4 linked regions of the Caenorhabditis elegans genome follow. The protein of the gene in region 1 interacts with the protein of each later gene in a pairwise test. Each region holds a gene or a part of one and is shown in the gene's direction. Other genes may lie near its edges.

Evidence for each region.
Region 2: the proteins of drap-1 (region 1) and hat-1 interact in a two-hybrid assay, tested with the Caenorhabditis elegans proteins (one large-scale study listed by BioGRID).
Region 3: the proteins of drap-1 (region 1) and unc-130 interact in a two-hybrid assay, tested with the Caenorhabditis elegans proteins (one large-scale study listed by BioGRID).
Region 4: the proteins of drap-1 (region 1) and zip-12 interact in a two-hybrid assay, tested with the Caenorhabditis elegans proteins (one large-scale study listed by BioGRID).

Annotation. Positions count from the first base shown.
Region 1 is NC_003283.11:9,730,248-9,737,749, forward strand, and holds drap-1 (Transcription factor CBF/NF-Y/archaeal histone domain-containing protein), read left to right. Parts: upstream 1-1,711; 5' UTR 1,712-1,917; coding exon 1,918-1,990; intron 1,991-2,267; coding exon 2,268-2,509; intron 2,510-2,558; coding exon 2,559-3,182; intron 3,183-3,286; coding exon 3,287-3,343; 3' UTR 3,344-3,775; downstream 3,776-7,502. Other genes in the region: cal-7 (EF-hand domain-containing protein), read left to right, coding at 3,856-3,946, 3,990-4,057, 4,689-5,069; aqp-4 (Aquaporin), read left to right, coding at 7,404-7,457.
Region 2 is NC_003281.10:10,403,080-10,410,838, reverse strand, and holds hat-1 (Histone acetyltransferase type B catalytic subunit), read left to right. Parts: upstream 1-3,590; 5' UTR 3,591-3,597; coding exon 3,598-3,679; intron 3,680-3,724; coding exon 3,725-4,145; intron 4,146-4,192; coding exon 4,193-4,252; intron 4,253-4,331; coding exon 4,332-5,004; 3' UTR 5,005-5,591; downstream 5,592-7,759. Other genes in the region: M03C11.3 (PH domain-containing protein), read right to left, coding at 1-593, 1,030-1,223, 1,710-1,838, 2,242-2,477, 2,552-2,576; ATP-dependent DNA helicase chl-1, read left to right, coding at 5,603-5,940, 6,002-6,104, 6,570-6,683, 7,477-7,759.
Region 3 is NC_003280.10:11,278,144-11,285,659, forward strand, and holds unc-130 (Forkhead box protein unc-130), read left to right. Parts: upstream 1-3,822; 5' UTR 3,823-3,851; coding exon 3,852-4,189; intron 4,190-4,623; coding exon 4,624-4,950; intron 4,951-5,190; coding exon 5,191-5,527; 3' UTR 5,528-5,816; downstream 5,817-7,516. UniProt on the Caenorhabditis elegans protein: Probable transcription factor. Binds to DNA sequence motif 5'-CTGTTTCA-3'.
Region 4 is NC_003281.10:12,324,734-12,334,867, forward strand, and holds zip-12 (BZIP domain-containing protein), read left to right. Parts: upstream 1-2,933; 5' UTR 2,934-3,213; coding exon of another isoform or gene 3,214-3,252; intron 3,253-4,730; 5' UTR 4,731-4,731; coding exon 4,732-5,079; intron 5,080-5,839; coding exon 5,840-6,139; intron 6,140-6,931; coding exon 6,932-7,084; intron 7,085-7,307; coding exon 7,308-7,529; 3' UTR 7,530-7,541; downstream 7,542-10,134.

The DNA of each region.
Region 1 (7,502 bases):
TTCAATTTCGTTCTTTCCGAAAAACAATGTTGAATTCAATCGTCGACTGAATTTCTGATTTTTTTTTCTGAAAAGATATCACATTTTCTATTAATTCTAAGTAGTCTGAACCAGCTGGGCGACAATTCCAATTTCGCTATTTTGACAGTTAAACAATTGCGGAAAATACTGAGTTATCGAAAGTTCATCAATTCATCAATTTCCAAAAATGCCGATTGCTGGGAAATTGAAAATTCTCTAAAAATGTTCATATCCAAGAAGAAAATCTGAAAATCTGTAAATTTTTATAAGTTAATATACAAAGAAAAATTAGATAAATCTTTTGCCACAAAAACTTCACTGCTGTACGAATTAAATTTTCTTTCATTTGTAGATTTTTTTCAAAATATTTTAAATGTGCACAAGACATTTGGCCAAATTTTTAACTTGATCAATGTCGATCAATATATTTGCCGAAAATGTTCTTTTGCCGCCCATCCTGGTCTGAACTTAAAAATGTTTGCGCAAATTTGCCTCTAAGTTTTTTTTCTAGTAAATTGGAGAATAAAAATTCGCAAAAAGATCTCAATCACCTCATAGGCAACAATTGCAAAAATATCCGTTCAATAATTCTTTATGCAAATACTGAACAGTTAAGATAATTTCATCATTTCAATATCTCGACTTTGCTTCACAAAAGAACAATCAATAATTCGACGGCAAGCTGACAAATCAGCCATCTATCCATCTGTCCGTCTGTCCACACAAAAACATACAAATCGAGTATGCGGAGGAGGAGTCTATGTTCTTTCCCTCAACTCTCTGCTTCTCTCATCTTCTCTTCCCTCTCATCTCGGCCCGTACAGCTGCATCAAAGACTCTCAAACATCGGCGCGGCGCGGGCGCACGCTAAATAAAAGGGGGAAAAGGTAGTGAAACGACACGTGGAGACGCAGAACAAGCAGCGGGTACCGTAGTCGCGCAGACCTGCGAATCACCGATTTGTCCGCTGTATATAAAGGAGGGAAGAACGCGAGGTCTGCGTGTGATCGGCCAGCGCCTTTCTGCTCCTATTCTCCGTTTTTCCCCCTTCTATCTCCTCTTTATACACTATTTCCCTTAGATTCTCTCGTCTCCTCACCGAAGCGCTCAATCACTCGTCTTTACGCGCTCTCCTCCAGTCCTGGCCAGTAGATGTGTAAGTGTGTGTGTGTGCGTTGACATCGAATCGAATCGACACGACGCAGAATGGAATAAATGGCGTTATCATTAAAGAATGAAATAACCAAAATGAAAGCGAGAAATAGAAAAAAGGAAGATACCATCACGCCTCTTTTTTGTTATCAATTGTTGTACTGATGTGATGATCTATATTGTTATAGTGATCGATGAGACCCGAACGGCTGTGTACATACAGAACATATAGAACATAACACACTTGTTGCGAAACGGAGTTGCTCTAACGGGAAATGAAATATAACAAAATCTAATTATCTGAATCCCTTTGTTACTGAGCACAGAATATTTTAATAATTCCAATCAATATCAAATAGTGACCATTAATTTTAGAAAAAAAAGTTTGCGTTGATTATTCATGGGCTCTAAATGTCTTTTCCAAAGTTGTTAAGAGAGCTTCTATGAATGAAACATCATGTCCTTCTTTCATGGTTCAATAATCTCTCATTTCATCGCTTTACCTCAAGAGTATTATACAGTAGCTTCCAACTTTCAGTTAGTCTCAGGCCCATCATCGATGACGTCTTCGGAATAGTTCTATATCTCTCGAAAACCACCCGTTGTTCGTTCTTTCTCTCTCTCATTTTGTGCCTCCAAATCTCCACAACATCGTCTTCTCTCGTCAGCAACGTTTCCGTCGGAGACACTGACACTTTTGGAAGGAAACCAGAGAATACATATTTCGAGAGAGGAGAAAACAAGATGGATCAGAATAGAGGAAGCGATGTTGGCTTTGCGGTGCCGATGTTACCCGTCAATTATGCATCGGCTACTCGTTAGTTTTGACCTTATCTTTTAGGGTGGATGGAACAAAAAAGAAACTCGATTATAGATAATCGGAAAACGTACATTCATAAAATCTTAAAATGAAAGCTTATTTATTTTCAAAAACCCTTAATTTGTTTTGGGTAAAACCGTCAGTATCCGGCATCATTTCTGGATCATGAACTATCTAGAAACTTCAAAAAATATGCGACTTAAAACAATTTGTAGATGTAATATCTAAGAATTAACAGATTAGGATCAAATCGTTATTTAAATTTATTTTTCAGAAAAAATGTCAACGTTGGCATCCACTTCATCAGCCGGTGCTTCATCATCAACAGGTAGCAGCAACCAACAGCAGCAACAGGCAGCTGCTGTGATCCGAAGACGTCGTTTCAGCACTGCAAAAATTCAGCCAACACGCATAAAGAAGGTTATGCAAAGTGATGAGGATATCGGAAGAATGGTTCAGTCAGTTCCTGTCAGCATCGGAAGAGCAATGGAGCATTTTGCGGAGAAGTTTTTACAGGTGAGAAGACTCAGTCATAGTTATTTTGAACCTTGAATATATATTTGAGGCTGCCGCAGAAGCTACTCAATTCACATCTTCAAAGACGCTAAACCCTCAACACATGAAGCAGGCGGTTCTCAACACTCCACACTTTTCATTTCTAGAATCAGTCTTCAAAGATGTTGCACTTCCACAGCAAGCATCTGAATTGAATACTGCACGTACCGGCATGACATTGAGAGGACAGCAAATGCTCCAAGAGCAACAAAATTCAGATTTTGCTAGTGCAATTCTTGCCAATGCGCAGATGCAAATGATGCAAATGGATCAACAAGCATTGAAACAAGAAGATGGAACTATTTCTCCTTATTTAGTTGATCCGCAATCCCCAGCAGCACCACTTCCACTTTATCTTCAAGGGATTCCATCCAATTATCCAGTAGTTCAAGAACTCACAGCCACCGTACCACTTTCTCCTAGCACTCCGACAACTCAACTCGTAAATGGTATGCTAGGAATGCTCAAATACTCGAAAAAAGATTCTGAAGGACAACGTCTCACAGGATTAAAACGAGCATCTACTGATGGTGATGGAGAAGACAGACCAAAGCGAGGACGCCCAAAGAAGTTAAAACCTGAAAAATGTATTGATGATGATCTCTACGAGGAAGCTTCTAGGAATATAGCCAAGGTAATATTTGAAAAGTTTAGACATAGAATCAAAATGTTCTAAAGATGTAATTTGATTTACGGTTCTGTGATCCTTTTGATCTAAAGCAAAATTATCATTTTCAGGAAGACAAGGATCGCGAGTTGATGCCTCCTCCAGCACTGCCTATTGGCCGTCCGTGATCCTCACTTCTCTATGAGAAATTTTATTCTTCTCCTAATCGTGTACTTTTCAATGGTCTCGTTGCCCTCCATTTCTGATCTAAATTTCTCCTTTTCTATTGCTCCAAGTTAAGAAAAAAAAAACAAATCCTCACCGGGTCTACCCTATTCTCTATTTCTCTTGTTTTATTCATTTTTTGTCGTTCACTGGCAAATCAAAATTTAATCACTTCGATGTTCTCCCAATATGAACCATTACCGACCCACACCTTCATAAATCAGGATGCTCGTCGCTTTTCATTAAACCTTCCAAATGTTCTCTGTCATATGTTTAACTTGTTTTGCTCTTTGTCTCTCTAATTCAATTTTTCTCTTCATTTTTATATTTGTCATGCTTTAGAATTCAATTTCCGTTTTTGTAGTATTTAATATAAAAATTATTCAACCAGAAAACGTATATTTCCGACAGAAAAGACCACTAAACTCGCGCAACAACTAGAGCGATCTACATTATATTAGTATTCAGCTAAATTATGGATCTGAGCGAAGATGAAGATTTATTAAACATTGAAGAAGAAGGGGAAAATGAGAGCCAAAAAGAAGAAGTAGATTCTGTAATTGTTGGTTTGTAATATTTTGTCCAATTTAAACAAAAAAGGAAGTTCAGAAGATATTCGACGTCGTCTTTTCGATGTATTCAAGATGTTTGACGAGGATTCTGATGGTTTGATTGAAGTGAGGATTACTGTAGTTACTGTTGAAACTTGGCTTTTCACGTGGTGCTTTTCTCCAACTTTCTACTCATTTATATCATTAAGAACCGGATCAAATAGACATTCCACCTAGTGTAGGCGTCACGGGGAGCCTATTCCCGCCTTCCCACTCGCCTTCCTCGCGCCCTTCAGTAGGGTGAGTGAAGAGGCGAACACGCCTCGAGTGCATGAAGTTATTTTTCATACTTCATAAACTCTTAAATGTTTCTCCTGGCTCTTCCAATTAGTAGGAGCGTCGTCAATATAAAAGTTGTACCTATAGCTGAAAATTTCTTATTGATATTCGTTGAAAACTCAATTTGCATCTCTATAGGTTTTCTTTGTTTTCGATATTCTAGTATTGTTTTGGTTATTTTTATTGTAACAGTTTAGAGATTCAAACCCGCGCCAATGCATGAAATATCTCAAAAAGTTCACATTTTTTGAAAAATTTGGTAAAAACTGACTCAAATTTTTCAAAAGTCGAAATACTTTTTGGAGAGTTTTATTATGATATTCGGCTATTATGGACCTCCACTGAATCTTTTAAATCCACTGAATCTTTAAAATGTCTCCACTGAATCTTTTAAATCTTTCTTAAACTGAAATTCCAGACCGACGATGTGAGTCACGTTCTCCGAAGCTTTGGATTGAACCCCAGTCAAACGGAATTGCAATTGGTCAGTGAACAAACTGCAAAGAAAAATGGAAGAGTTTCATTCGATGACCTTCTGCCCCGTGTCGTATTGGCAATTCAAAATGAAGAATGGAAAGATGATACTCCGAAACAAATCCATGCTGCATTTCAAGTAATAACATCTAATAATTATGTTCAAAAAGATACATTATTGCAATTGCTCACTTCAATTGGAGAACCATTGACTCCACAAGAAGTTAAGCAATTTCTGAATCATGTCAGCATTCGAGCAAATGGAGATATTGACTGGGTTTCGTATGTTAAAGACACTTGCGAAATGATTACTTCTAGAGATTAAATCTTTAATTTTAGTTGTAAGGATTATCACTTTTTTTTTTGGAAAATTTCTATAAATCTTCATAAACGTGGATGCCTTCAACCATCCCAACTTTGTTGGAAACTAAAGCCAAGAGAGCAAATTTTCCAGAAAATTAAGATATGTACGTTTCAAATCTTGCGTACCGTCTGAATTTAGTTGCAAACCCTTTGGACATGGCCTTGTTCTCAGAAAAATAACATTTTCACAGACCCACTTACACTTCTAGTTATAACCTTGTGACACACTTTCTTTTGGATCACTGGTAATCGTAACTTTATGATGAGTTGAACAACTTTCCATATCAAAACTAGACATGAATAAAAGTGATTCAACGATGTACCTTAGGGCGTTGACGATCAAATTATCATTACCTACGGATAATCAGTATCTATTATAATACGAATATGTCTTTTCGGTGATGGAAATGTCTGAAAATCGTTTAATATGTTGCAGACGGATAATTTTAAACAATACAAGAAGCTAACTCGTCAATGTTTTAAATACATCGTGAGCCCGTTGTCCCCAGAATTTCAGGCCGTGCGTGACTGCAAAGTTTTCAAAACCACAATTGCACATATCAGCCCTCCTTTTTGTTGGGCCTCTAAAGAGCATGACAACTTTATTTGTTAAGCAAAAAATTACCAATTAGTTTGTGTTCTACAGGGGAGCAACACAAAGGTTTTTTGGCACTAAAGATCCTTCAAGGTTATAATTGCCACGTTTTCAGAAAGACTAACAGCAAATTGAAACACGGACTACTCGTGTGTTATTTATCAGATCAACTGCAATCATTGCATAGTTCAAAAATCTCTACATATAAACCACTTTTCTAATTAGAAAAAAAATCGGTGCAATCTCTCAAAACTGGACACGGACTGTTTTTATTTAAATACATTTTATGCCAAGAAATATAAATAAAATAATATAAATTACTTTTCCTAAATGTTCCTCAATTTATATATTCTTAGTCGTTTTGGTCTAAACTCTCTGGTCATTTAGAGCAACTTAAAATAAAATATCTACACATATTACAGTCGATCTTGGTGCAAATAGGGAGAAAATCCAATTCATATTTAGACCCATTCATCAATATTTCAGTCTGTTCGGTTATCAGTTGATGCACAGCGTTCTATAAATAATCCGTGATAAGCCTCTAGCTCATTGTCACATTAAAAAACGGCGTCGAAATTTGAAGAATTCGATGATAACTCCATTTGACGGGAAATAGTGTGTAGTATGGTTAAAAGTTCAAGTTTTGTACGGGTATGATGACAATATATTTTTCTTTGAAAGGTTATAGTAAAATCATCGAAAATTCAATTCTTTGGAGGTCAGTATTGTTGACGATGACTTGAAATAGGAATTAAAGTAACAAACTAGAAATAATAAAGCTATCGAAAAATTAGTCAAAATGGTCAAAATGAGTTGACCAGCAAATTTGGAGCATAGAAAAAAGCAAATCAATTAAATAACTGAAACTAAAAAAGTGTAGCTTTTCTGCAATATTAAAAAAATATTATGCAGGCTGGTCGCAAAAAAACTGTTAAAAAAATGTAAGGAAGATATTTTTCTAACTTTGGATTTTAAATTGGTGTCATCTTTTCATCCTACATATTTACCATGTTAAAAAAACAAGTTCCAAGTTAGTTTCAGTAAAAAAAACATCAACGTATTCCAAAAAAAATTGTTGTACACAATGTATTAGCTGAATTTCAAAATGTTTAAATCTTTGTCTTTAATACCAAATCATTATGATTTTAAATACTTCCCCGCACGTTTTGTCTGTCATTTATGTCGTTCAATTGTTTCTCATTGTCGTTATGTTTGTGCTTTGCTCAACGAGCCAGCCTTTTCCGGTGCCAGTATCTTCTTACCGATTATATCAGCTTAACTCATTTTCCATTAAAAATTGTTTGAAAAGGAACTTCTTTTCTAATGACGTAAAGACTCTAAACCGCTTGACCTAAAACACTGTTCTATTTCACACTTTTAGTACGCAGATCACAAACCAATTCCACACATTCCATTCTAGAAAAAAAATTGTTTCTCTCACTCCGAGGCTATTAATATTTAATATAAATTTGCACCACCTATAGGTGTGGTAAGAAGTCATTTGATTATGCTTTTTCAGTTGCGCCCTCTTGATTATCACTAAGGTACAATTGGCAGCAAACCGCCTCACTTTTTCCCAACAATACGAGACACTTATCATCATGATAATGAGCGTTAAGTCAGAGCCCCGCCTCCACGTTTTGCATTTGAAACTATTTCTGAAGGTTTTCAAATCAGAAGATTCTGAAGTCGAGAACGAAGATGGTGTCACCATACGAAGAGGATTCCAGGCCACCATATATGTCTTCTTACGCAGTAAGTTTCATACTTATTAACTGATAATTTATAGAGTATTTTTAT
Region 2 (7,759 bases), on another chromosome or scaffold:
CAGCCCGGGAGAGCAATCCCGCGTATCTCATCCGTTTCGGAGCCCATCGTGGCACATTTTTCGGCGATTTTCGGTGTTCCTCTGCCTCGTCATTCAAATCATCATCCAAATCACTTATATCAGTTAGTTCATCCATATCATTATGCCTAATCCTCTTCTGATTCAAATCTCTAATCCTTTTCACAAATGTTTCCCGAGTTCTATCGGGCTCCGAAGAGCATTCTATCAACGTTTGCATTGAAAATGGCATTCCCTCAGTGTGAAGTGTTCCTCGATGCTTCCTGAGTAATATCGATGTCTGTGTATGCGAGAGACCTTCAGTTTGTGGTAGTAAATGCACATAATCCGGTCCACGAGACTTTATTATTCTATCCACCAGAGCTCGTCGTCGCGTCATCTCGTGATCCTTTCGACCGCTTCCACCCAATGGAGAAGCTAACGAGCTCGGCGGTCGACTTGTCGATGTGTTCGGGGCTCGTTGAGCTCCAGGAGGAAGATTTCGGAAGGATAAGGGATTCGTGAATTGACTGTTGGATTTGTTGCGACCCATTAGGCTTGGTGATGATGGTGCAGAGTCTCCAGATGACATTCTCCTGCAAAAATTGACACAATTTTCGCAGCCTTTGGGTTTTTTTTCTCGTATTAGAAAATTCAAGAAGCTTCACAGAGGCCGGTAGTTTTTATGAAATTTATTGTAAAATTTCAGAAAATCGCAGATTAAACTCATAATTCTACACGTTTAAGAATTTTCGATCATTTTTGGTAGATTTTAATTCTCAAGAAGTGGAAAATGCTTTTTAAAAATGCGCGGAAACCAGTATGAAATTGTTTTTTTTTGCTATAAAATTTCTTAAAACCACATTTTTTCAGAAATCAGCGGATTTTGTGGAATTTAATGTAAAATATAGAAAATCGAAAGCTTTTCCAAAAAATCAAAATTTTTTTTGAAATTACTGTCGACACTTTTGGCACTTTTTTAAACATTTCCGCAACAAAACGGCTATTTTTTTTTTGAAAAAAAAAACTCACTGATATCCATTATGCAAATTTCCAGCAGGACTCAACAGCACCTGCGTATTCGTGTTACTCGGCGGTCCCATGATAATTGGTGCTCGCTGAGCCACACGAATTGTCGGTTGTGGATAAGGTTTTTTTCGTGCTGTTGTACCGCCGTGGGATCCATTGCTTGATGGTTGTTCAGAGTCGCGGAAATTTGTTGAGGTCTGGAAATTAATGAGAATTCACGAACAGCCGGTTTAAATTTTGAAATACGGCTTTAATTTAAAAAAAAGGATTTCTCAGGTATTCTCTTGATATTTTTTCAGCCATTTTTTAAATGATTTTCACCAAAAACTTCGAAATTCAATTTTCATCATGAAAATGTCGAAATTTGTCAACGTTTTTACTCTAAAAATCAAGAAAAATCCTTTTTTTAACCTATTCGTGCAGATATCTACAGAAAATAATGAAATTTTCAGAGTTTCAGTCATTTTTATTATTAAAAACCTCGATTTTTAAAATTCTACAGGTTTTCCATGAATTTTCGCAATTTTTAAAATTTTCTCCGAAAAAAATTATCAAATATTCAATTTTAATCTATTTTTACAGATATTGTTGGAAAATTATGAATTTTTTCATAGTTTTTCAAGAGAAGTCGCCTAAAAAGCTGAAATTGAGCAAGTTTTCGAGATTTTTCACAAAAAACTCACCAAATTCGGCTTCGTGTACTCGTTGACATTTATGTGTAACGGAGAGAGTGTTTGACTGGTTGGAACACCGACAGACGTCGATGCGACAAATGATGACTTTAGTTGAGCTTCTGACGCTGCAGCGGCGGCCTGAAAATTGAGAAATTGAGAAAAACAATAGGAAAATCGATTAAAATGTGCATTCATACATGTTTTTAATAAGTTTTTTTTACAAAATCGTTTTTAAAAATCTATTTAATGGAAAAATTAGTTTCAAAACATGTTTCTAATATATTTTTTCGACTAAATTAAATTAAAATCATGTTTTGATACATTTTATCGAGAAATTAGGTTAAAATCATTTTTAAAATTCTTTTTTTTTGACAAAATTGGTTGGAAATCATGTTTTTAGATTTTTTGGACAAAATTAGATTAAAACCTTTTTTAATCCATTTTTTCAACAAAACTAACTTAAAATTTAATTTTTATTTTATTTCTCCACAAAATCAGTTAGAAATCCAGTTTCTAGGGTTAAAAAACGCCAATTTTTTACCTCAATCTCTCGTTCATCGTCATTTGTATCACGTTGCTCAACAAATTGCGATAATCCTCCTCCATTTGAAGAAGAAGACGACGCATCGAACAATGAACGATCATGTTCCATACCAGGGAACGAGTGATGTGAGGCAGGAATTGTGCCACCTATTATCACCATACAATCCGATGGGATACTTCTGCTGATGTTGCTCGTATTTGAAAACGTTGTTGGTCCGAGGTTTTCCTTCAATTCTGATATGGATTAGAGGACATTTCACATGGAAAATCCGTGAAATTTCAGAAATTTTCAGTGGAATTTAATTTACCTGTTCTTGTCGAACGCTCATGCATTATTTGATGGTCTTCCCATCAACTTGTTGCTTGGAATCTTCTGAAAATTCGATTTTTTAAAAATGATTTTTGACAATTTTGAGCGGATTTGTGAGAGAAAATTCGATTGAAAAAAAATATTTTTACATTAAAACCGTTGAAAAAACCAATTCTTTTTGATATTTTTCAAAAAATTCCAATGAAATTTGGTTGTTTTCAACAAAAATATAACGGAAAAATGGTAAAATAGCAAAACTTTTATATAAATAGGAAAAATTTATAAATTTTGCGATGAAAAATCTCACAACGAGTTTTAAAAAACTTAATTTCTGATTTTAACAAAGTTTTAATTGAACAAAACAACAAAAATTCTCGAAAATCCGCCGAACTATGGAAATTAACTCTTTTTTATCTAATTATCGTGAGAAAACCGCGAAACCCGGGCAATTAGAGCAAAATAATGCGGTTTTGCGCCATTTTTCACAATAAAAATGAGACATTTTACGGGGAAAACGCTTGAAATTCGATATTTTTGTTTGTTTATAATTTTTATGATGCAACTAAACTTCACGAATCAACTTGATCAATCAATTTATCCGTTTTGGGATGAAAATTCCGGGAGATAAGCGAAAAATTTCTGAAAAATCGATAAAAATTCACCCGGAGGCGTGAAAAACAGCACGGATCCATCAGAAGATCCCTGGCAACGTGCCAACTCGCACGGCGTATTTCGAAAAAAGCGCGACGAGAGAGTGTGTGGCCGTGAGAGACGCGCGACACTCAGACAGTCGGAGAGAACGCCATCTCTTATGAGAGGTTGCGAAAGTCAACGGGTCTCGCCGCGAAGAGACACTTTTGTGTCGATTTACGAAGTGAGAAAGCCCGCGGGAAACTTTTTTAAATTTTATTCTTTTATTTTCGTCGGAATTCCTTCATTTTTTCTCATTTTCCACGCAAAATCGGTAAATAAATTGATTAAATATCGTCTTGTTTCGCGATTTTCAAGGTTCAATGGCGTTTTCAACTCTTTAACAGTTTCAGCATGGTTATGGAGGACGTCACGAATGTCAATCGCAATCGGAGATACATTTCCGACGGACTTGCTGTCGTTAAAATGACATTTTGTAAGAGTTTAACCGAATTTTCGCTTGAAAGTTCCCATTTTTCAGTAAAAAACATGCAAGAAATCAGTACTGCGCCACGCTACGAACCAGAGATGGTCTATCAGCATTTCGGAGATGAGGAGACAATCTTCGGCTACGAAGATCTCGAGGTTACCATCCATCACACAGCTCAAACCCTCTACAGCTACATAAACGTGAGCTATTCCTCAAAAGCGAAAAACGAAAACGGACTGGAGGCCGATGACGTCATTGATAAGCTGGTTCATCCAGACGTTCGTCCGAATGTTCTGGTTTCGGGAAAAGAAGAATTCCAGCAGAAGCTCATCAAACAGAAGGATTTCAAGCCTTTCGGTGAGATGGTACACAAGTTTGAGCTGAAAGGAAAGAGCTACGAGGTCTACAAAGTCGCCGAGCAAACCGAAGAGTTCAACCTTTTCCTAGAAAGAATCCAGACTCTCGGCATGTTGTGAGTGCTTAAAAAATAAGGATTTTCCTACAAAATTTTTTTTTCAGCTTCATCGAGTGCTGCTCACTGACAGATAACACTGAAGACAATTGGCTTCACTATTTTATGTAAGTTGAGAAGATTTCGCGGCGAATTCCAGAAATTACAAAAAATCGAACGCATTTCAAATATTTTTCAATTTTCCAGCTACGAACGCTGCGACACCGGTGAAGGAGATGGAAGTACTGTGGCCAACGTGGCTGGCTACGCGACACTCTTCAAATTCTACAACTACATTGACAGGATCCGTCCACGAATTGCACAGATGCTATTGCTCCCTCAATACAGAAAATCTGGAATTGGAGCCAGTTTCATGGAATCTTTCCTGCGAGATCTTCGTGCCTCTCCAGAAGTTTTCGACGTAACCGTCGAGTCTCCCGGAGATCAGTTCGTCAGCCTCCGTGACTATGTGGATTGTGTCAACTGCATGACACTGCGGGAATTTGCACCGGAGAATCTCAAGAGGGGATACTCGGACAAAATGCGTCAGGCCGCACTGGAAAAGCTCAAGATTTCCAGACAACAAGCCCGTCGAGTCTATGAAATTTTGCGTTATCGTGCTACAAATAAGAAGGATAAAGAAGAGCTGAAAGCGCAGAGAATCGATGTGAAACGTCGGTTGTATGCACCAATGAAGAAATCGGATCAGGACTGGAAGCGTCTGAATCTCGCGTTGACACCCGATGAGCTTCGACAAGCGGCCTGTGGACAAATGGATGAGGAAACCAAGTTCTCGACGCTCTCACAGAATTATGATCGGCTTATGGAGGCCTATCAAAAAACTATTGATCGAATTGAGCAGCATCCAAGCATTTTTTAATCGTTGTATCTGTATCTTATTTTAATTTGAAATTACATGTGGGATTTTTGTATTTTTTTTAAAGCTAATTACCACGAAATTCGTCTAAATTTGCTGTAAATTTGCAAAATTCCCTTGCCGTTATTACCCATACGCGAAATTTTGCGCCAAAAGTACGGTATCCGGTCTCGAAGAGAAAAATGTATGATAAATGCGAAAAAGTGTGCGCCTTTAACGATTTTTATCAGGTTTTCATAGTTTTTCCCAGCATTTGTTAAAGTTTTTTTGGGTTTTGATTGTGATCTACGAAAAATCGACGAAAATCCGCAATAGCAAAAGTTTGAAGCTACAGTACTCTTTAAAGGCGCACAAATTTTCGCGTTTAACAAACATGTTTCGTTGCGAGACCAGGCACCGTATTTTTGGCGTGAAAATCGCTTTGGGTCCTATTTGACTTATTGTGAATGTTTCATGAATTTTTCCGCTCTCTAAACTCTCAGCTAAAAATCGAATTCCCAGTTGAAAATCCCGAATATATTTTTATCTTCTTATATATTATTCTTCAATTACAAAAAAAAAACTCACCGAAATAAATGATCTCTCACTCTATCCCAGCAGAATGGACGAATTCTCATTTCCATTTCAACCATACGACATTCAACTCAATTTGATGCGAGAAATCCGCCAATGCATTGAACAACGGAAAATTGGCATTTTCGAATCTCCAACAGGCACCGGAAAGTCGCTCAGCGTGTTGTGCTCGACGATGACGTGGCTGGAAGCTGAAGAACTACGAATTTCGACTGATTTGAGCACACGGCTCGGGGAGGTTCACACGAAAATCACGGAATGCGATAAAATCACCACCGCCGACAATTGGGAGACGGCAGTTCGTGAGAAAATGCGAGCTCAAGACGTAGAGACGGAGATTTTGGAGCAAATTCAGAGTCGGGAAAGGTGTTGGAAATTGAATAATTATTCTTTTTTAATTTTTTTTTAAATGAAAAAAATCATTCAGATTGCAGTCACGAATCGATCAAGCCCGGCGAGGAATGGTCGAGGTCTCCAGAAAGAGAAAAGCCCCGGCCAGGGATACGGATCAGTTTCTCGAACCTCAAGATGTAATAATTGAACTTTTATCCGGAAATTCACATGTGGCTGACCGTTTTTTCGGAAAATTTCAAGATTTCTGACTAGAACCTGGCTTTTTTTTTCTGGAAAAACCTTGAAATACGCAAAAATTCCAAATTTTTAAATACAAACCTTCAGTATTGCTAATTTTTTGAGAAATGTGAAAAAATGTTAACAGTATTATATAGCAAGATAGATATAGAATAGATTCCACAATATGAATAGATACACAATAGAATAGTTACATAGTAATACATAGAATAGACACTTGATGCCTCACTTTAAAGGCGCACGCTGTTTTCTGAGTGGGTCTCGCCACGATCCCAGCCACAGTAGTCGCTACAAATTTGAAGTTTCATAAATTGAATATGCCAGGTTTTCAAGAAAATGTTATTCTAGAAGTTTCTATTATAGAAATAATACAGAAATATCAAAATTCAAAATAAAATTTCCAGGAAGCCGCCCCATCGGAAGAATACAATAACGACGAGAAAAGTGAGAAACAGCGGGATTCCGATTTTTTCGATGATGTCGATGAAGAAGAGGAGAAGCCACTGAAATGTCTGAAAGTACAGAATTTATTTCAATATTTCGGAAAGTGCAATCGCGCTCCATAGCCAAATGAAAGTGCAATTCAAACTTTTTCAAGCATTTTTGTGACAGTAACTGTATATCATTAAAAATTGGAAAATCTTGGGTTTTACCGCCAATACCTAACGAGACCCATGTTTCGGGGGCAGAGCGTTTTTATTTTTTATTTGGCTATGGAGCGCGATTGCACTTTCATCTCAAAAGTCGCATATAGCTGTCATATTATTACAGGAACAAAAAATTCTTAGAATGCGTATTGGGCAACATATTTGACGCGCAAAATATTCCGACGCGAAAACTACAGTAATCCTTTGGATGACTACTGTAGCGCTTGTGTCGATTTACGGGCAATATTTTTGAAATTAATTTCTTTTCAAAAAGTTACAACGGCTCTCAATTTTCTTTAATTTTTCGTTTTTAAAAATCAATAAATAAAAGGTTTTTGTAAATCGACACAGGAGCTACAACAGCAATTTAGAGGATTACTGTAGTTTTCGCTTTGAGATATTTTGCGCGTCAAATATGTTGCCCAATACGCATTCTCAGAGTTTCGTGTTACCGTAATACGTCTTTTTTTTTTTTAATGAAAGTTGTCTGAAAAAAATAATCGAAATTAAGTCGGAGAATTTTCAATTTACCGAACAAATTTTTTTAAATGAAAATTTGGTTTTTTTGTAAATTTTCAAAACTGCATTAAAATTTTTTTAATTGAAAACTGAAAAATCAATAATTTTTTATTCAAACTGTCTTGAAATTTTCTGAATTTTCCAGATTTTCTACGCATCACGAACACATTCTCAATTGGAGCAACTTGCCGAGGAGCTCGCAAAAACTAGATTTCAACCCAGAATAGTTACATGTGCCTCACGAGGAACATTATGTGTAAATGAAGAAGTCAAAAAGTTGAAATTAAATCATTTAATCAATGAAAAATGTATGGAATTGCGAAAAAACGGAATGTCGGAAAAGGAAAAAGTTCAGAAATTGGAGAAAGGAACCACGAAAAAGACAAAAACCTGTGCGACTTCATGCGAATTCTACAATTCCACACAAA
Region 3 (7,516 bases), on another chromosome or scaffold:
TTCTATGTATAATCTAAAAATTGTTGGAGTGATCAATTTTGAGTTTACGTAACTCATATAACTTTCTGTACACACCTGACAATCAGTCAAAACCCGGCTCTAATATTTTGGTCAATTATCTTGTCTTTTTCTTATTGGGTCTTACCACGATGCATATCATTTTGAGATTTAGTATTTCACCCCATTGTTCAACTTTGACATTTTATATCTCAGTTGTCGTTTGTTCCACACAAAAATTGTCAACTTACAAAATATTTGTTATTTCTTTTTTTAAATCATTTCCTAGTTGATAATTTATTTATATCTTCAAAATAAACAAAGATATAACCTATCAAATAAAGTAGTCAAGTGCAGTACAAATAGAGAATATACGGTGGGTGAATCTCTTGAATCTTCTTCAAAAAAACTGAAAGTGAGTGGTATCTCTTGAACAACTCATCCTAGATCATCCCCAATTTTTCCAGCTGACTAACCATACGTTCAACATCTACCCAGATTTAAATCTAAATACATACACATTGTTTCTCACTTGTTTTAAACAAGTCCTACAAGACGCGTGTCACACTTGTTGCCTGAGATTCTTGTCACTTCTCTGAGCACTCTCCCCATCATCTCATCATTTTTTTCGCTTTGCAAAGTCCAGCGGAAATCAGTTTTAGAAGAAATGTCGTTTGCAAGTTTTACCTGATCCCCCAATAACAAGTGCAATAACAATAAACTAGTGTTTGGGGGGGATGGGCAGTTCCCTACCCAAATTTATAGCCAATCTCCATTGATTACCGCTATCATTCTGTCCTGAAATAATGCGTCTCATTCAATAGGGGGTAATTGCAAATGGCAATGAAATTGGGTTTGAACTTTTGCTACTCAAACATGGGTGATTTTGAACATTTTACTGAAAACTGATCCTAGAGTGGTTAACCTGATTTCTGAGTTCTTTCAATTCTAAAAATAATAAAAAATAACTCAAGATTTTGGTTTTGTGAAAAAAATATAAAAACACGTGAAAAACTTGTTTGTAGTCATTTTGCAAAAAAAAAAGTTGGTTTTTGAGCACAATGTTCAACAAGCTTTGGGTGTAGGTAGGTATGAGGTAGGCCTGTCCATTAGGAAAGTATCAGTGTTCATTACGTCTACGCCGATGTTATATGGCACCTGCCGATTTGATCAGGGCTTGAATATTAGAAGCTAATTTTGTACTTTTTGTCTAAAATGGTTCTAATTATTTATTAAAATACCTTGGGTAGAATATCGAAGAGCCCAACTGGTCTCATGTCTCGCCGGAAAACGCGTCCTTTAGTTACTTGCGATCATATTTTTATGCTATTCGAGTTCCTTTTATGCTATTCGAGAGCTATTCGAGGAGCTACTCTTCTATTTTGGCTCTGATTATTTTTTGTCACTGTTAGAATTTCTATAGGCACGACTGACGACCGCTTTTTTCCCGGAAAACGCCCCACGTAAATTTGCACGCATACTTTTGGTTGGGAGCCAGTGGGGCGAGGATCCTCCCCTTCACGTAACACCTCAGTCTTCCGAGTAGGAACAAAATCGCAAAACTTTCGTGGTAAGACCACCGGCACCCCATAAACATTTATTAAGTAACACACACACAATTAATGCGTTCCTTCCCACTGCCAATCTTCTTATCAGAAAGATGAAATGACCGTCTCAACCGAGCCTGTGTGTCTATTTGTGTGTGGCCTTTGTAATAGTTACCACCTAGCTGATAACCGAGAAAGTTGGATTACCTCATGATTCCCTCATAAATTTGCCGACAGGTTCTTTAACGAAAACATATTTGTCTTTTGATTGTCTATTCTCTATTTACAAATTGATAATTGGGAGAATGCCACCCAGAATTAGTCGATTTAAAATTGAGTATGATCTACATAGATCTGAGTAGTGGTTGATCACAATGATATAATTATTATATATTAGTATCATTTTCTCTTTCTCTCTCTCTCTAAATTCACCCTGTCATCAGTGATGATTCTCAGTTTCGAGCGGCGGAGGGGCGAGCGTGTGGGCGGAGCCGCGTGTCCAATGAGCGTGGGGCGGGGCGGTCCAATTACCGGTGTTTTCTTTCGTTTATTCGCTTTTTGTGACTATGACACCAAAACGGAAGAATCAGTGGATCAGGCAAAAATATTATTATTAGAACTAATAGTTGGATTTAGGTTGGGTATCATTCTGTACCTATTTCACCTGATTTCTTGTGCTTCACTTGATCTTTGTCTTTATTATTATTGTTATTATTGTTGTTGTGCTCCTTGTTGTGCTCCTTATAAATCCCGTAAACTCTAAATCTAAATTGTTATCTAATACTTTTTATTGGTTACCAATAATATTACTTCTGCCAAAAGAGGCAAAACGCCGCGTTTCAAAAAATGAAAATTTTTATCTGTTGTTCATCACTGTCAAATTTATGATTATTAATATTTCTCACCATTCAAATTAAAACTTTTGCTTCAAAACTACATAAAACATTCAAAAACTTGAAACAAATTTTATTCGATTTTTGCAAGTTTTTTATTTAAAAAAAATTATACCGTATTTTCCCTAGCATTCATTTTGCTCATATCTCGGTTGTCCCAAGTTTTATCAAAAAAATTTTAACTGTCATAATGTAGAAAAATAATTTTTCCATAGTTTGTAAGTTGACAATTTTTTGATAGAACCAGAGAGAATCGAGATATAAGCTGTCAAAGAAGAGCAAGGTGCATGCAAGTCAAATAGGAAAATAGTGGGTTTTCCGGTTTACAAATTCGCATAGTTTTGAATTTTTTACAGAGTTTTCACCATTTTAGAGAATTGCTCACATTTTCTGAATTTTTTTTTCAAAAAATTAACTGGTACCTAAATTGAAATTTAAATATTTTGAGCAGAAGAGGTGAAACTCTTTTTTTAAATTTTTTAATTGCTTCTCATATTGATACTATTCTCTTTTTGTGCCAAAACTTCTAATCAATGCCCCGCTCCTTTCAAATCCTAAAGTTCCACTTAAAAACTGAAGAATCAAAAATCTTGAAACCTGTACTGTATGTACTCTTCCAAAAAACCACCTCCGTGCTTTTCATCATTTACAACTTGTCTCCCAGTCCTCGTCCGCAACTTGCTTTTGATATATTTTTTTCGACTTCTTCATTTCAACACATACCTACACACACAAAAAAAGTTTGCGCTAACACATGTCCGCCCGTCATAAATCTACAGTAATCTCGGAGCTTTCTTTCTCTCTCCTGATGCTCCCACACCACTCTGTCATTTTTCAATTGTTCTTCTCTTGGAAGCTCATCTCTCGTTTTCATTTGATCCTGCTAGAAGACACTTGATATGTTGTTTGTGTTAACTAAGATAACTGATATTGTTGAAAGTGATAGCTTTGCTTTGCTTTTCAACTTTTCGTGTTCCTCCTGCTCTTTTTTTTGACAGCTTACTAGTACCGAGTTCGGACCCCTGCATAGTACTACAAATATTATATTAATATGAGAATGATATACCCTTATTATCCCCCCACGTACTCTTGAGAATCATTAGTATGTTTCAATGTTTCGCCAACAATGGATTGGTATCATCTGCCCTTACCTACCGTACTCCCTCAAGTGCTCCCTCATCCATGATTACCGTACTCCCCTACTCTCCTCCCCCTTCTATCCGATTATAACATTTTTATTAATAATTATTATTGTCTGGTGTCTCGCGATGCCATCTCTATCTTACGATTTCGCTTTGAATTTTGATAACGCTATGAAAATATTAGCTTTTCTTATCTTTTTTATGTTTTACTTTTTTTCATAATTTTTTCATCAACTTACTTGCAGAAACTAACTAGGTAGACACCGGTAACAATGCTCTTTTCCATGGAATCAATTCTATCAAGTACCAAGCCAAAACTGGAGCCACCTCCGAAGCTAGAGCCGGAAGTGACAATCAATGAGCAAGTGGTTGATCTGCCGCGGAGCAACACACGGCTCTCCGAGCCATCAACTTCTGCGTCGGTTCTTGAACATGATTTGAAGTTTGGGGAGTCCCGAAAAAGAAGTCGGTCTCTTGGAGACGAGCCCACGGAAGATGAAGACGGCGTTCCAGTTCGGAAGGCAAACAAAAGAAATCATTCAACTTCAAGTGCTGCAGATAGCTCATCTGATGATGCGAAGGATGATGACGACGATGATGATTCTACATCGTAAGTTGGGAACTTGGGAAAAACTTAGGAATCTTAGAAGAAATTCGATTTTTCTCGACCTCGACCTTTTAGGTCCTTTTATACAAAAAGTTTGTATGCTCAATTTTTGTGAAACTTTGATCTCCGATATTTTTAAGTCTATTAGACATTGTTCAACTACCGTATTTTCCCTGTATGACTTGCATTCTCTTTACTCTAACTTGACGGTTTATATCTCGGTTGTCCTAAATCTTACCAAAAAAGTTTAACTGTAAAAATGTAGAGATATATTTACATGCATTTTGTCAGTTGACAATTTTTGATGAGACCAATAAAAACCTAGATATTGGCTGTCAAAGTAGAGAAATAGGTAGAGCAATATACCTATAATATGTACAGTGATATGTACAATAATATGTACTGTGTAAAACAACTGTAACTCTATAATTTTGCAGTCGAAAATCAATGTCTGGTCACCGAAAGAGCAGTCACGCAAAGCCACCGTACTCCTACATTGCACTCATCGCGATGTCAATTCTCAATTCACCGGAGAAGAAACTGACACTTTCGGAAATTTGCGAGTTCATAATCAATAAGTTCGAGTATTACAAGGAGAAGTTCCCCGCCTGGCAGAACTCGATTCGTCACAACCTAAGCCTCAACGACTGTTTTGTGAAGGTGGCTCGGGGGCCTGGGAATCCGGGAAAAGGAAACTATTGGGCGCTGGATCCGAACTGTGAGGATATGTTCGACAATGGATCGTTTCTGCGCAGAAGGAAGAGGTAAGGGGAGCACAGGAGAAAGTATTACAACCTGACGGGGAGTAGTAGCCGGCGGCGGGGTGAGCACACATACGAGATGTGAAGAGAGGGAAAAGACAGTTGTTTCGATAATTTGTCACCAATTTGTTGTCATTAATCGCACCCTCGAGGGTAGTGGAGAAGCCTGGGAAAAGAAAACTTTCGGGGTTAACAAGGGAATTAGTGAGATAAATTTTCAATTCAAACACTTAATAATTTCAGATACAAGAAAAACAGTGACACATATCACGAAATGATGTCCCATCATCCGATGCCATTCCCTCCATTCCTCCCGCAAGGAATGCCCTTTCCTCCAAGAATGATGCACCCGATGGCTAACATTCCCATGCTGGGACATCCAATGAATCCAAGAGCAGTTCCAAACATGCCAGCGTTCTTCATTCCACAAAATATTGATAGCCAGAAGCTCTTGTCAATGATGGCTTCGAGAATAATGCCAATGGATGCTCCAGTCAGCTCTGGCCAGAAGAGAACTTCATCGAGCTCCTCACCAAATGAGAATGGATCTTCGGCAGTTTCAGATAAACTGAGCGCTTAGAAGAACACTCAATTTCCTTGTTTAATTTTTAACAATTGTTTCCTATTTGCTTAACCTTTTCTAGTCTCTTGTTCCTTTTCCGTTCCCCTTCAATTCCTTTCAGCATTCTTCATTTCCCCTGATCTCAATCGTGCAATCAATAATCAATTTTTTGTTAATCCTCCTGCACGTGGTACCACAACTTCATTTCTTCAACTGATCTTCCCTTTTCTTTTTTTTCTTTGTTTCATTATCTGTGAAAGAGCTTATGTCGTAAATAATTCGAAAATATATATGTCCATCGTCAGCATTTTTGAAGTTAAAATCACATTAATCAATTGAGCAAACAGTAAGATGAAAGGAGACCGCAGAAGCTGCTGAGCCGATTAAAAGACTGAAATTGATAAGGGAGGGAAGTGACAAGACTGCTGCAGAGTTACTAGTCTGCAAAATGTCATGAATCCAACAAAAAATCAGGGTTCAGAAGACTAGGTTTTTAGTAGAAAACATACCGAATTTTTCAATTAGTCTTGCACCAAATTTGCTCTACTTTGGCAGCTCATATCTCGGTTGTCTTCAATTTTAACAAAACATTTTCAACTGTAAAATCATAGAAACATATATGAAAAATATTTCTACTGTTGAAATTTTCGTGATAAAACCAAAAGCAGCCGAGATAAGAGATCTGAAAGTAGAGCAGAAGGGGTGCAGTACTAATAGGAAAAGTACCGTAACTTACCTTTTCCTAACTTTTCTAAATTAGATGGATATATAACTGGACGCGAATATTAGCCACAGACAGAGTTCCTCAGCCTCCAAGAGTCCTCATTTTTCCATATAACCTGGCTCCTTTGGACTAGATAGAATTTCTAAAAAGACGACCTATGCCTACTTTTCTGTGAATAAAAACCATTAAAACCATAATTTAAATCAACATAAAGCTACTTGTTGTTTGGGCAAATAATGATACTAACAATTAAATGAACATTTTGAAAACTATGCTAAGATTATTCAAATGTTATCCTAATTACCAAAACCCTAGTTTAACTCGGTGACTTTTTGAACTCCCGCCAAACCATATAATTATCTCAAGCATGTCGTCTTCATTTCTATCCTAATTAGATACCCATACATAGTGTATATATGTATATTCAAACTATACAAAACGGATATTGCTTATCAAATTCATTCATCAGTTTGCCACGTCAAATCAAATTATCGAGAAGTGTGTGTGGGGGTGCAGTTTCACCTTATGCCACCTCATGTTTCGTTTGACGGCACATGGTGACAGGCCCGATGAGATTTTGAACCGTTTAATTGATACTAATCGGTATCTTAGGTTGTATTAATGTAATTACAAATACCGTATTTTTTAATGGTATGCACCTAACTAGTTAGAGTTATCAATTGTATTGGACCAACGAAAAAAGCCGATACAAGCTTTCAAAGTCAAACAATTGGGTGTAATGCTAATAGAAAAAATAAGATAGTTAGGAAAAAGGTGTTGCCAAAATATAGGAGCCTCTGCTACAGTAACCCGTGTTTAAAAGTGCCAATATCCTAATTATCTCATACAATGCAAAACTCTCCATCACCACCTGCAACTACTCCGCTCATATACAAAACAAGGATTATTTCAAGTAGGTTGAGCATAAAGATGTGAGTACGATAAGTACCGGACAATAGCCAGCCAAAAAAGGCTAACCGCCAAGAGTATTTCCATACAAAATGTGCGTCGGCTAATCCGCAAATTATAAGGTGCGACATACACAAGTCGTCGAGGTGGCGCAACTTAAAGATTCATCTGATACTGGGCAGTGAGAGAGCGTGTGAAGTGTTATAGACGCAGACGCCAAGGACATGGAGTAAGTGAGCAGATTGTTATGCAACCGAGCATTTGAATACCATCTTGTTAGGTAATGGACCCATCGAGACATATATACATACATAAACTTGTAACACCTTCTGTTGGCAAGGGTGAACACATAAAATTTGTGTCTGTGTTTGTGG
Region 4 (10,134 bases), on another chromosome or scaffold:
TTTGCACTTTTTTTTTTGGAAATTACAGAATTTCAATTTTTATCGGAAAAATTGCACGCATCCTATGGATGTTCATACATCTAGTTTGAAAAGTCAGTAAATTCTATGAAAATATCTGAAGAAGATGGGAAAAAAATTTCAAAAAAAGCACAGTTTTAAGTCTTTTAAACAAATCCCTTTAAAAGCTTCCGGCAAATTGAACTTCGGCAAACGGCAAATTTTCGGAATTGAAAATGCCCGGCAAATTGGTAAATCGGCAAATCGCCGGAATTGAAAATTTCCGGCAAATTGGCAAACCGGCAATTTGCCGATAGGCAGGCGTCAGGCCGTAAAACCGCGCCTGCCTACCGTGGGAGCCCTAGGTGCTACTCCACCTTAATTTTTTTTGTTTGAAAAAACAGTTTTTAGACAGTTTTAAAACGCTATAACTTGGCTGATTTTTTGGAAATTAAAATTTCATGTTTTTTCAAATTAATGTAATTTCAATTTGGAGTTACTTTTTTCCTAAAAATCTGAAAATTCCTTCATACTCTCAAACCATGATGCAACTCAGTTTTCCGACCCTTTTGTGCATTTCGTTCAACAATATCAATTCCGTTGCTCTGCCATCATGAACGAAACTGCTCAGAAGACTCCTTCTATACACAGTGACACGTCATTGACTTATCATCACGTCTAGAATGTCTGTGTCTCTTGATTAAACATGTACTTTCACCACATAAAAACGGACAAACATGTCTATCTTAGCAGGAAAGACTGGGGCAAAAGACGCGGTGATTATTGTGTGACAGACAAGCAGAGAAATTGTTTCTCAACTTTTATCAGTTAGGTATCATATTATCACATTTGTTGGGGCATCAACTTGTTACTTGCATTTGGAATGGGCAGTGAGTTGAGTAGAAAAGTGAACATACAAGTTCAGAAACTTCAGGATTTTCACAGGTGCAATTTGCCGATTTACCAATTTGCCGGGCATTTCCAATTCCGGCAATTTGCCGGTTTGACAATTTGCCGTAATATGAATTTGCCGGAAGTGTGTAGAGGGATTTTTTATAAGAAGGAAACACTTAAAACCGTGCCTTAAAGAATTGTTTCCCATTTTCTTCAGATATATTCATAGAATTTACGGACTTTCCAAAATAGATGAAGGGTCATTTCTAGGGTGTGTACAATTTTGCCAATCAAAATTGAAATTCTGAAATTTCCAAAACAAAATTTGCTAAACCACAATTTGGCCGTTTTTCTGGCAAATCGGCAATTCGCCGGTTTGCCGATTTGACGGACATTTTCAATTCCGACAACTTGCCGATTTTCCGGAAATTTGCATGGGCCGCTATTTTTGATAAATTTAGTGAATTCTAGAAAAAAAACTGGAAAACTGGATGCAATATGATAATAAAACTTGATGAAAAAAAGCTTTTTTAGGTTGGTCAATCTATAAAATATTGAAATTCCTATTAAAACGAAAGATTTTGAAAACTAGTTTTCCTACTACTAAAGATTACTTCACCCTTTAAATTTAAAAAACTGAAAAGTCCTCGAAAATTTTTTTAAAGGTTTACATTTTTTTTCGAGCAGTTTCAACTTCCAGATAAACTTTCAGCACTTTTTCAGTTTTTCCAATCCAAATTATAGTTGTTTTCAATCAAATCAAATACTTTTCTATACTTTATCATTAAATGTAGACTTGGAAAACACATTTCAAATCGGCAAGTTGCTGGAATTAAAAATTTCCGGCAAATCGGCAAATCGGCAAAATGTCTTTTTGCCGAATTGGCCAGAAAAACGGCAATTGCCGGATTTGAAAATTTACAGCATATCGGCAAATTGGCAAATCGTCTATTTGCCGGATTGAAAAACTGCAATAGCCGGAAATTTTTGTCAAAATAAAAAAGCAAGTTCTATGAAAATATCTAAACATAACAGGAAACGAATTTTTCAAAAAGGCACAGTTTTAAGTGTTTCCGTCTTTAAAAAAACCCCTCTAAAAATTTCCGGCAAATCTGATATCCGGCAAATGGCAACTCGGCAAATTGCCGTAATTTTTTTTTGGCAAATCAGAAAATTGCCGGAACTGAAAATTCCTGGAAAATCGGCAAATTGTCGTAACTGAAAATTTCCGGCAAATCGGCAAATTGCCGGAACTGAACGTTTCCGACAAATCGGCAATTTGTCTAAAACAAAAATTTCCGGCAAACCGGCAAATTGTCGAAAATGAAAATTTCCACTTCAACAATGAAACATTTTTCCTGTAGGCTTCAGACAAAAATTATATTTCGTCCTTTAATCCTTTTTTAATCAGGTTTCACTTCACTGTGAATCTAATGAATTATATTATTAAAACTGAAAATTCCGAGAATTCATTTGGATAAATTCTAAAATCAGGGTTTCAACTACCAAAATATTACATGGATTCTGCTCAAGAATACATTGTTCTTCATTTTTTCAAACCTTTCTCGAGCCACAGAACCGCTTTTGCTACATGTCCTGGAAAGATTTATCTTTCATTTTTCGCTGTAATGCTTCATTGTAATGCTTCATTGCGTCCCATTTCGGTTTGATCTACAAAAATTGCGGGGAAAGAGACGCAGAGTTCTCAACTGATTTTGCATGGTTAAGAACGTGCTGACGTCACATATTTTTGGGCGAAAAATTCCCGCATTTTTTGTAGATCAAACCGTAATGGGACAGCCTAGCACCACGTGATGCTTCTGAAATTTGGTTTTGGAATGGGTTTCTATAGATACCTTTTTTCAGCTTTTGATATGCCTTTCCAACCCATTTTTATACAATATAATACCTAATTAATCTGTCAATTGCATTTACATCCATCGAATGTACAATTGCGATGTATTGGAAATTACAGCAATCAGTGCCCATCCCCCATCAACAGTCTCTTATCAATCTTGCTAATCACCTTCACTGTCCCCCCCCCCCCCCACTGTCTCAACCACTGCTCAGATACCAAGTATGTCGCACAGTATTTCCTACTCTGTTTTCTCTAAGGCTCTCACATCTTTCCTCTGACTATTTCTCATTTTTTTGATGCTGCCCTCCTCCTCTATTCAATACAATCAAACGATGTCATGATGCAGGCAAACATCATGCATTCACTGTCTTCACTCTTCTTAGCAAGAAGTTGTGTTCTCTTATCACACACACACACACACACACACTGTCTCCCCCACCATTGGTCTCTTGCCTTTTTTTTGACTGACAACGACGATTTTGAATCTAAGGAACTGGGGATAGGTATGTTTTGAAATTTTGGTTAGGAAAATATGGAAGGATCAAGCTCCGCCCTTGATGATTACTGTAGATTCCTGAATGCATCAGTGAGTTCACGATGGGCATCAGGGCTCTTACATTAGGGGCCAAATTGCCGAAGTTCCGAAGTTTCCGCAACCAGAAGCTGCCGGTTGCAGAAACTTTGGCAATTGCCGGTTGCTGGCGACGTGTATGTATATCTCGCGTCCAAAACAGGGTGGGTGGCAATTGTCGTTTGGCGAAATCGGCAAGTCGGCAATTTGCCGGAATAAAAAATTACCGGCAAATCGGCAAATTGCCGGAATTAAAAATTTCCGGTAAATTGGCAAATTGCCGGAATTAACTATTTCCGGCAAATCGGGCATATCGGCAAATTGCCGGAATTAAAAATTTCCGGCAAATCGGAAAATTGCCGGAATTAACTATTTCCGGCAAATCGGGCATATCGGCAAATTGCCGGAATTAAAATTTCCGGCAAATCGGAAAATTGCCGGAATTAACTATTTCCGGCAAATCGGGCATATCGGCAAATTGCCGGAATTGAAAACTTCCGGAAAATCAGCAATATGTCGAAACTGAAATTTCCTTTAAATCGGTAAAATGCCGGAATTAAAATTCCCGGATGATCGGACAAATCGGCAAATTGCCGGACCTAAAAATTACCGGTAAATTGCCGGAATTAAAAAATTCCGGTAAATTGGCAAATTGCCGGAATTAACTATTTCCGGCAAATCGGGCATATCGGCAAATTGCCGGAATTAAAATTTCCGGCAAATCGGAAAATTGCCGGAATTGAAATTTCCTTTAAATCGGTAAAATGCCGGAATTAAAATTCCCGGATGATCGGACAAATCGGCAAATTGCCGGACCTAAAAATTACCGGTAAATTGCCGGAATTAAAAATTTCCGGCAAATCGGCAAAATGCCGGAACTGAAAATTTCCGGAAAATCGGCAAATTGCCGGAATTAAAATTTCCGGAAGATCGGTAAATTGCCGGAATTGAAATTTCCGGCAAATCGGGCAAATCCGCAAATTGCAGGAATTAAAAATTTCCGCCAAATCGGAAAAGCGGCAAACTGTCGATTTGCCGAAATTTCCGGAAAAACGCCTTTTGCCGAAAATGTTTGGCAAATTATGATTTTGCACTTTTTTTTTGGAAATTTCAAAATTTCAATTTTAATCGGCAAACTTTTTTCCTACATTAATGTTGAAAAATCCCTTTTAAAATTTCTGGCAAATCGGCAATTTGCCGAAAATCAAAATTTCTGGCAAATCGGCAAAATTAGTGTTTTGATAAGAATCAGCAAACTTTCTCATAAGTTCGTTACAAAAACAGTCGCGAACCAATAAGCGAAAGACGAGGAACCAATAAGCGAAAGACGATGCGAAAAATTTTTTAAAATGCACAATTGGGCCTGGCCCGAAAGTTTCAGACAAGACCAAAAAATTCCAAATTTTACAGAATGAATAACGAAACAAGTGGCAGTCGTGACATGATTCTAAAACACTTTGACTCCACGCAAAACAACCAGAATTCGGTAAAGCTGGAACACGAGTCGTCAGATAACAATGAATCGTCAGGCTCCCAGAACTTTGTATTCAACTTTTTAATGAGCCAACTGCAAAACATGGGTCCAGTGGAGATAAAACAAGAAGTAGAGGCGAAGATGTTGGATGATATAGAAGATGAGTACACTGATAATAATTACAATGAAGGCTACTCAAAGATGGATACAGATGGGGATTTGGAGTGGGAAGAGGAATTTAAGAAATTGAATAAAGATCCGAGTAAGATGGACAAGAGAGAACAGGTTTGTGTGGATTTTTTACAACTTCTAGTACAAAATTTAGGTTAGATGTACATGCCCGCCTAACGCCTATTTTTTGTAGTGTAGAAAAAGATTTGTTATATCTGAAAATAATTTCCAAATTTTTCTGAAAAGCCTCACTCAAATCAGGATAGCAATTGGGGCTCAGCAAATTTTTTTGTCGACGAATTTGGCAAATCGGCAAATTGATGGTTTGCCGATTTGCAAAAAATTATGATTTCCGGCAAAAAAAAACTGCCGATTTGCCGTTTGCCGGAAGTTTTCAATTCCGAAAATGTACCGATTTTCCGATTTGCCGGAAGCTTTAAATTCCGGCAGTTTGCTGATTTGCCGATTTGCTGGAAGTTTTCAATTCCTGAAACTTACCGATTTGCCGGAAATTTTCAATTCCATCGATTTTGCCGATTTGCCGGAAATTTTCAATTCCATCAATTTGCCGATTTGCCGGAAATTTTCAATTCCGGCAATTTTTCGATTTCCCAATTTTGCCCGAAAAAAATTTGCCGGAAAATTTGATTTTCAGCAAAAAAAAAATGCCGATTTGCCGGAAATTTTGCTTTTCCGCAATAAAACTGCCGATCTGCCGGAATTTTGATTTTCGGCAAAAAACTGCCGATTTGCCGGAATTTTGATTTTCGACAAAAAATGCCGATTTGCTGGAAATTTCAATATCGGCAATTTGCCAATTTGCCGGAAATTTCAACTTTGGCAAGAATATCAATTTTAAATCCAAATTATTCAGGAACGTCACCGTCAAATGGCCAAAAACCGTGAGTACGCCCGAAAGTGTGTTCAAAAGAAAAAAGATCAACGAAAGCATGCGGAAATTCGAAGTAATCAAATCAAAAAACGCATTCAACTTCTCAAAAATAAAACGGCGATAAAAGAGAAAAATGCGAATTTTGCAGTGGATTTGAGAAAAATGATGTCAGAAATTGGAGTAGAACGGCTGAAATTGGAATATGAAAATGAGAAAATGGAATTGAATAAGAAGTTTGCTGAAATGTTTGCACAGGATGAAACTGTTAATTTGAATTTTCATGTAGGTTTTTTCTCTAAATTTCAAAAAAAAAGTGACCAATTTGCCGAAAATTTATTTTGCCGGTTAGCCGATTTGCCAGAAATTTTCAATTCCGGCAATTTGTCGATTTGCCGGAAATTTTCAACTCCTGAAGTTTGACGATTTGCGGAAATTTTCAATTTACCGATTTGCCGGAATTTTTCAATTCCGGCAATTTGCCGATTTGCCGGGAATTTTCAATAACGGCAATTTTCCGATTTGCCAGAAATTATAAATTCCGGCAATATGCCGATTTGCCGGAAACTTTCAATACCGGCAATTTGTTGATTTGTCGAATTGCTGGAAATTTTTCAATTCCTGCAATTTGCCGATTTGCCGGAAATTTTCAATTCCATCAGTTTGCCGATTTGCCGGAAGTTTTCAATTTGCCGATTTGCCGGAAATTTTCAATTTGCCGGTTTGCCGGAATTTTTCAATTTGCCGTTTTGCCGAAAATTTTCAATTTGCCGATTTGCCGGAATTTTTCAATTTGCCGATTTGCCGATTTGTCAAAAAAATAGCGAATAAATAAAAAAGTCCTACTTTAGTTTGAGTTTTTTCAAAAATGCAAAACTGAGAACTGCGACCAATCAGCGATTTGCTCCGCCCACTTTTCCACCAATCAGATCGAGTGGGCGTAGTTCAAAGATGGTGATTGGTCGGGGAGTTCTCCTTAGTTTGTAAATCCCGTTTTTAAACTTTTTTTGTGGAATTTCTGAATTTCCGACTTTTTCTTTTGAAAAGTCAATTTTAAAATTATTAACCAAATTATAGAGGCTCGCCAGTGCTCGAGAAGAATTTGAAAAAGCTGCTGAAGACCTACGTCTAAAAAACGGAGTAATTGGGACTTTAGGTTCCCGAAAAATCCGAGCAAAGCAGCAAATGGAGTGGAGACAGCATTTGTATCAAATATCTGCACATGAACATGTTCGTTTATATAAATTCTTACCTGAAACAGTCAAAATGAAGAAAATCCCGTTAACTGAAACATTGGGGAGAATGCTCAAAAATTGGCCTAAATTAGCCTAAAGTTCTAGTTGAAAAAAATTTTATTTCGAGACGAATCATGTAATTTTAGTTCATTTTTTAGAATTTCCCAATAAAATTGTAAATTTTTCCAGAATATTTTTTTAAAAATAACTTATTACAGGAGCATCATCGTGAGACAAAACTTGCCGAGTTGGCAGACGAATATGTTAAGCAAACGGTACCAAAAGCTGCTCCCCTAGTCACCTCAATTCCTAAAGACATGTTAGATCAACTAATTAAAAACAATAAAACTTTGGATTTGGAAGAGCTGTGCCGTTTTGTTGCTGATAATTTGTGTTTGTTACAAAATGATAATGATGATAAAGAATCTGTTGTTAAATAAATTATGGAATTTATCCGATGGTTGTACTTTTTGAAAATGTGTTCTTATTCATTTATTCTCCTTGTAGTCTAAATATTTTTGCCGGAATGGAACATTTCCGGCAAGTTCGGCGAACCGGCAATTTGCCGGACTGGATATTTTCTGACAAGTTAGGCAAACCGGCAATTTTTCGGAATGGAAATTTTCTGTCAAACCAGCAAATTGCCGAATTTGTAAATTTCCGGCAAATCGACAAATTGCCGGAATTGAAATTTCCGGCAATTCGGCAATTTGACGGAAAGGAAAATTTCCGGCAAGTGCGGCAAATCGGCAATTTGCCGGAAAAAAACACTTCGGCAAGTTGTGGGTTTGCAAGTTTATTTTCTGGAAATTTCAGAATTTCAAAACGATAATCGCAACATTGCCATAATTGAATTTTCTGGCAAGTTAGGCAAACCGGCAATTTTTCGGAATGGAAATTTTCTGACAAGTTAGGTGAACCGGCAATTTTTCGGAATGGAAATTTTCTGGCAAGTTTGGCAAACCGGCAATTTTTCGGAATGGAAATTTTCTGGCAAGTTTGGCAAACAGGCAATTTTTCGGAATGGAAATTTTCTGACAAGTTAGGCAAACCGGCAATTTTTCGGAATGGAAATTTTCTGGCAAGTTAGGCAAACCGGCAATTTTTCGGAATGGAAATTTTCTGGCAAACCAGCAAATTGCCGAATTTGTAAATTTCCGGCAAATCGACAAATTGCCGGAATTGAAATTTCCGGCAAATCGATAAATTGCCGGAATTGAAAATTTCCGGCAAATCGATAGATTGCCGGAATTGAAAATTTCCGGCAAATCGATAGATTGCCGGAATTGAAAATTTCCGGCAAATCGATAAATTGCCGGAATTAAAAATTTCCAGCAAACCGGCAAACTGGCAATTCGCCGATTTGCCAAATTTACCGAACTTTTAGTGCTGGCGCGTTTCCTCAGTACAAAATCGACACTCAATTATTTACAAAAAAAAAAATTTTGCTGATAAAAAGGGAGTATAAATATCACCTTAGGCAAGTATCAAATCCAGTCGGCTTCTTGCCTGATTCCTGCGTAATTTGGTCAGTCGGGATTTTGTATGAATATTCTTCTAATAGGTAAACGTAACCGAATATTGTTTTAAAAAAGGCCAAAAAAAAACTCCTTTCCTTTTAAAAACTCTCATTTTGTCGAATTAGTTTGTGATTCCGTGTTCCCCGATTTCGAGAGTTTATGGAAGCTAAAAGGTTAAAAGTCGTTTCGAGACGCAAAAATCTAGAAATATGATTTAATTTTGAAAATTTTAAATTCTAAAGTTATAAAAATAATTTATTCCCTGCGTTTTTCGATATTTTAGTTCACTTTTTGTACGAAAAGTTTCGCATTTCTGCTTCTCTGAGGTAAAAAAAGTTAAGTCAGTAAGTGCGCTCCATCGACAAAAATGGTTTTTTAACTGAAAAATGTGTTTTTTCTCCTTTAAAATTGAATTTTTTACAGGAAAATCAAATTTTGGATACTTCAAAAGGAAAAAAATAGAAAAAAAACGGAACGAATCCAATGTAAAGTGAGTTTTTAGCTCAAAATTATGATTTAAAATGCAATTTTGCAACAAAAAAGAAAAATGAATTTAAATTCTTGTTTTTGAACAAAAAATCGATTTCCATGGAAAATTTAAATTTTTAGTTTTTTTTGTAATCGTGACGTTTCTGTGCTCCAATCGGGCCAATTTCCTCAGCACGGGTCTCTTTTTTTTCTGTAAAATTTCGTTGATAAGAGCCCAAGTACACCGCAAGATTTTATTTGTGTCGTTTCGAAAAATGACTCACTATTATTTATTTGTTCTGCTCGCCGCTGCACGTAGTTTTTTTTTTTTTTTGAAAAAAAACTCGAATCGGAAATGGCAATCAGGCCACAAAAATCACGCATTTTTTCTAGAAAAAGTGCCGAAAAATTTGATTTTTAGAGAAAATTTGGAATTTTTCGTAATTTTTTCCAGCACATTTTGAAAAATTCCCATCATTTTGAGGAAAAAACTCTCAAAATTGCAGATTTAACCGAAATTTTATGAAAAATTCCAAAAAACAGTGCAGAAAGTTTCAAATAATTGAACATTTTTCGAATTCTTCTGAATATCACAAAAAAACGAAATTTTTAAATTTAGCTAAATTCCCTCCAAAATTAAAACTGCGACCAATCAGCGATTTGCTCCGCCCACTTTTCAACCAATCAGGTGGGATGGGCGGAGTTTGAAGATGATGATTGTTCATGGGGGTGGGCGGCAAACGATTTTTTCCGGCAAATTCCCGGCAAATCGACAAATTGCCGGAATCGAAATTTCCGGCAGATCAGTAAATTGTCTGATTTGAAATTTCCGGCAAATCGACTGCAAATTGCCGTAATTAAAAATTTCCGGCAAATAGGCAAATTGCAGGAATGGAAAATTTCGGCAAATCGACAAATTTTCGAATTTGAAATTTCCAGCAAAACGACATTGCCTGTATTGAAATTTCCGGCAAGTCGACATATTGCCGGAATAGAAACTTCCGGCAAATCGACAAATTGCCGGAATTAAAGTTTCCGGCAAATCGACATATTGTCG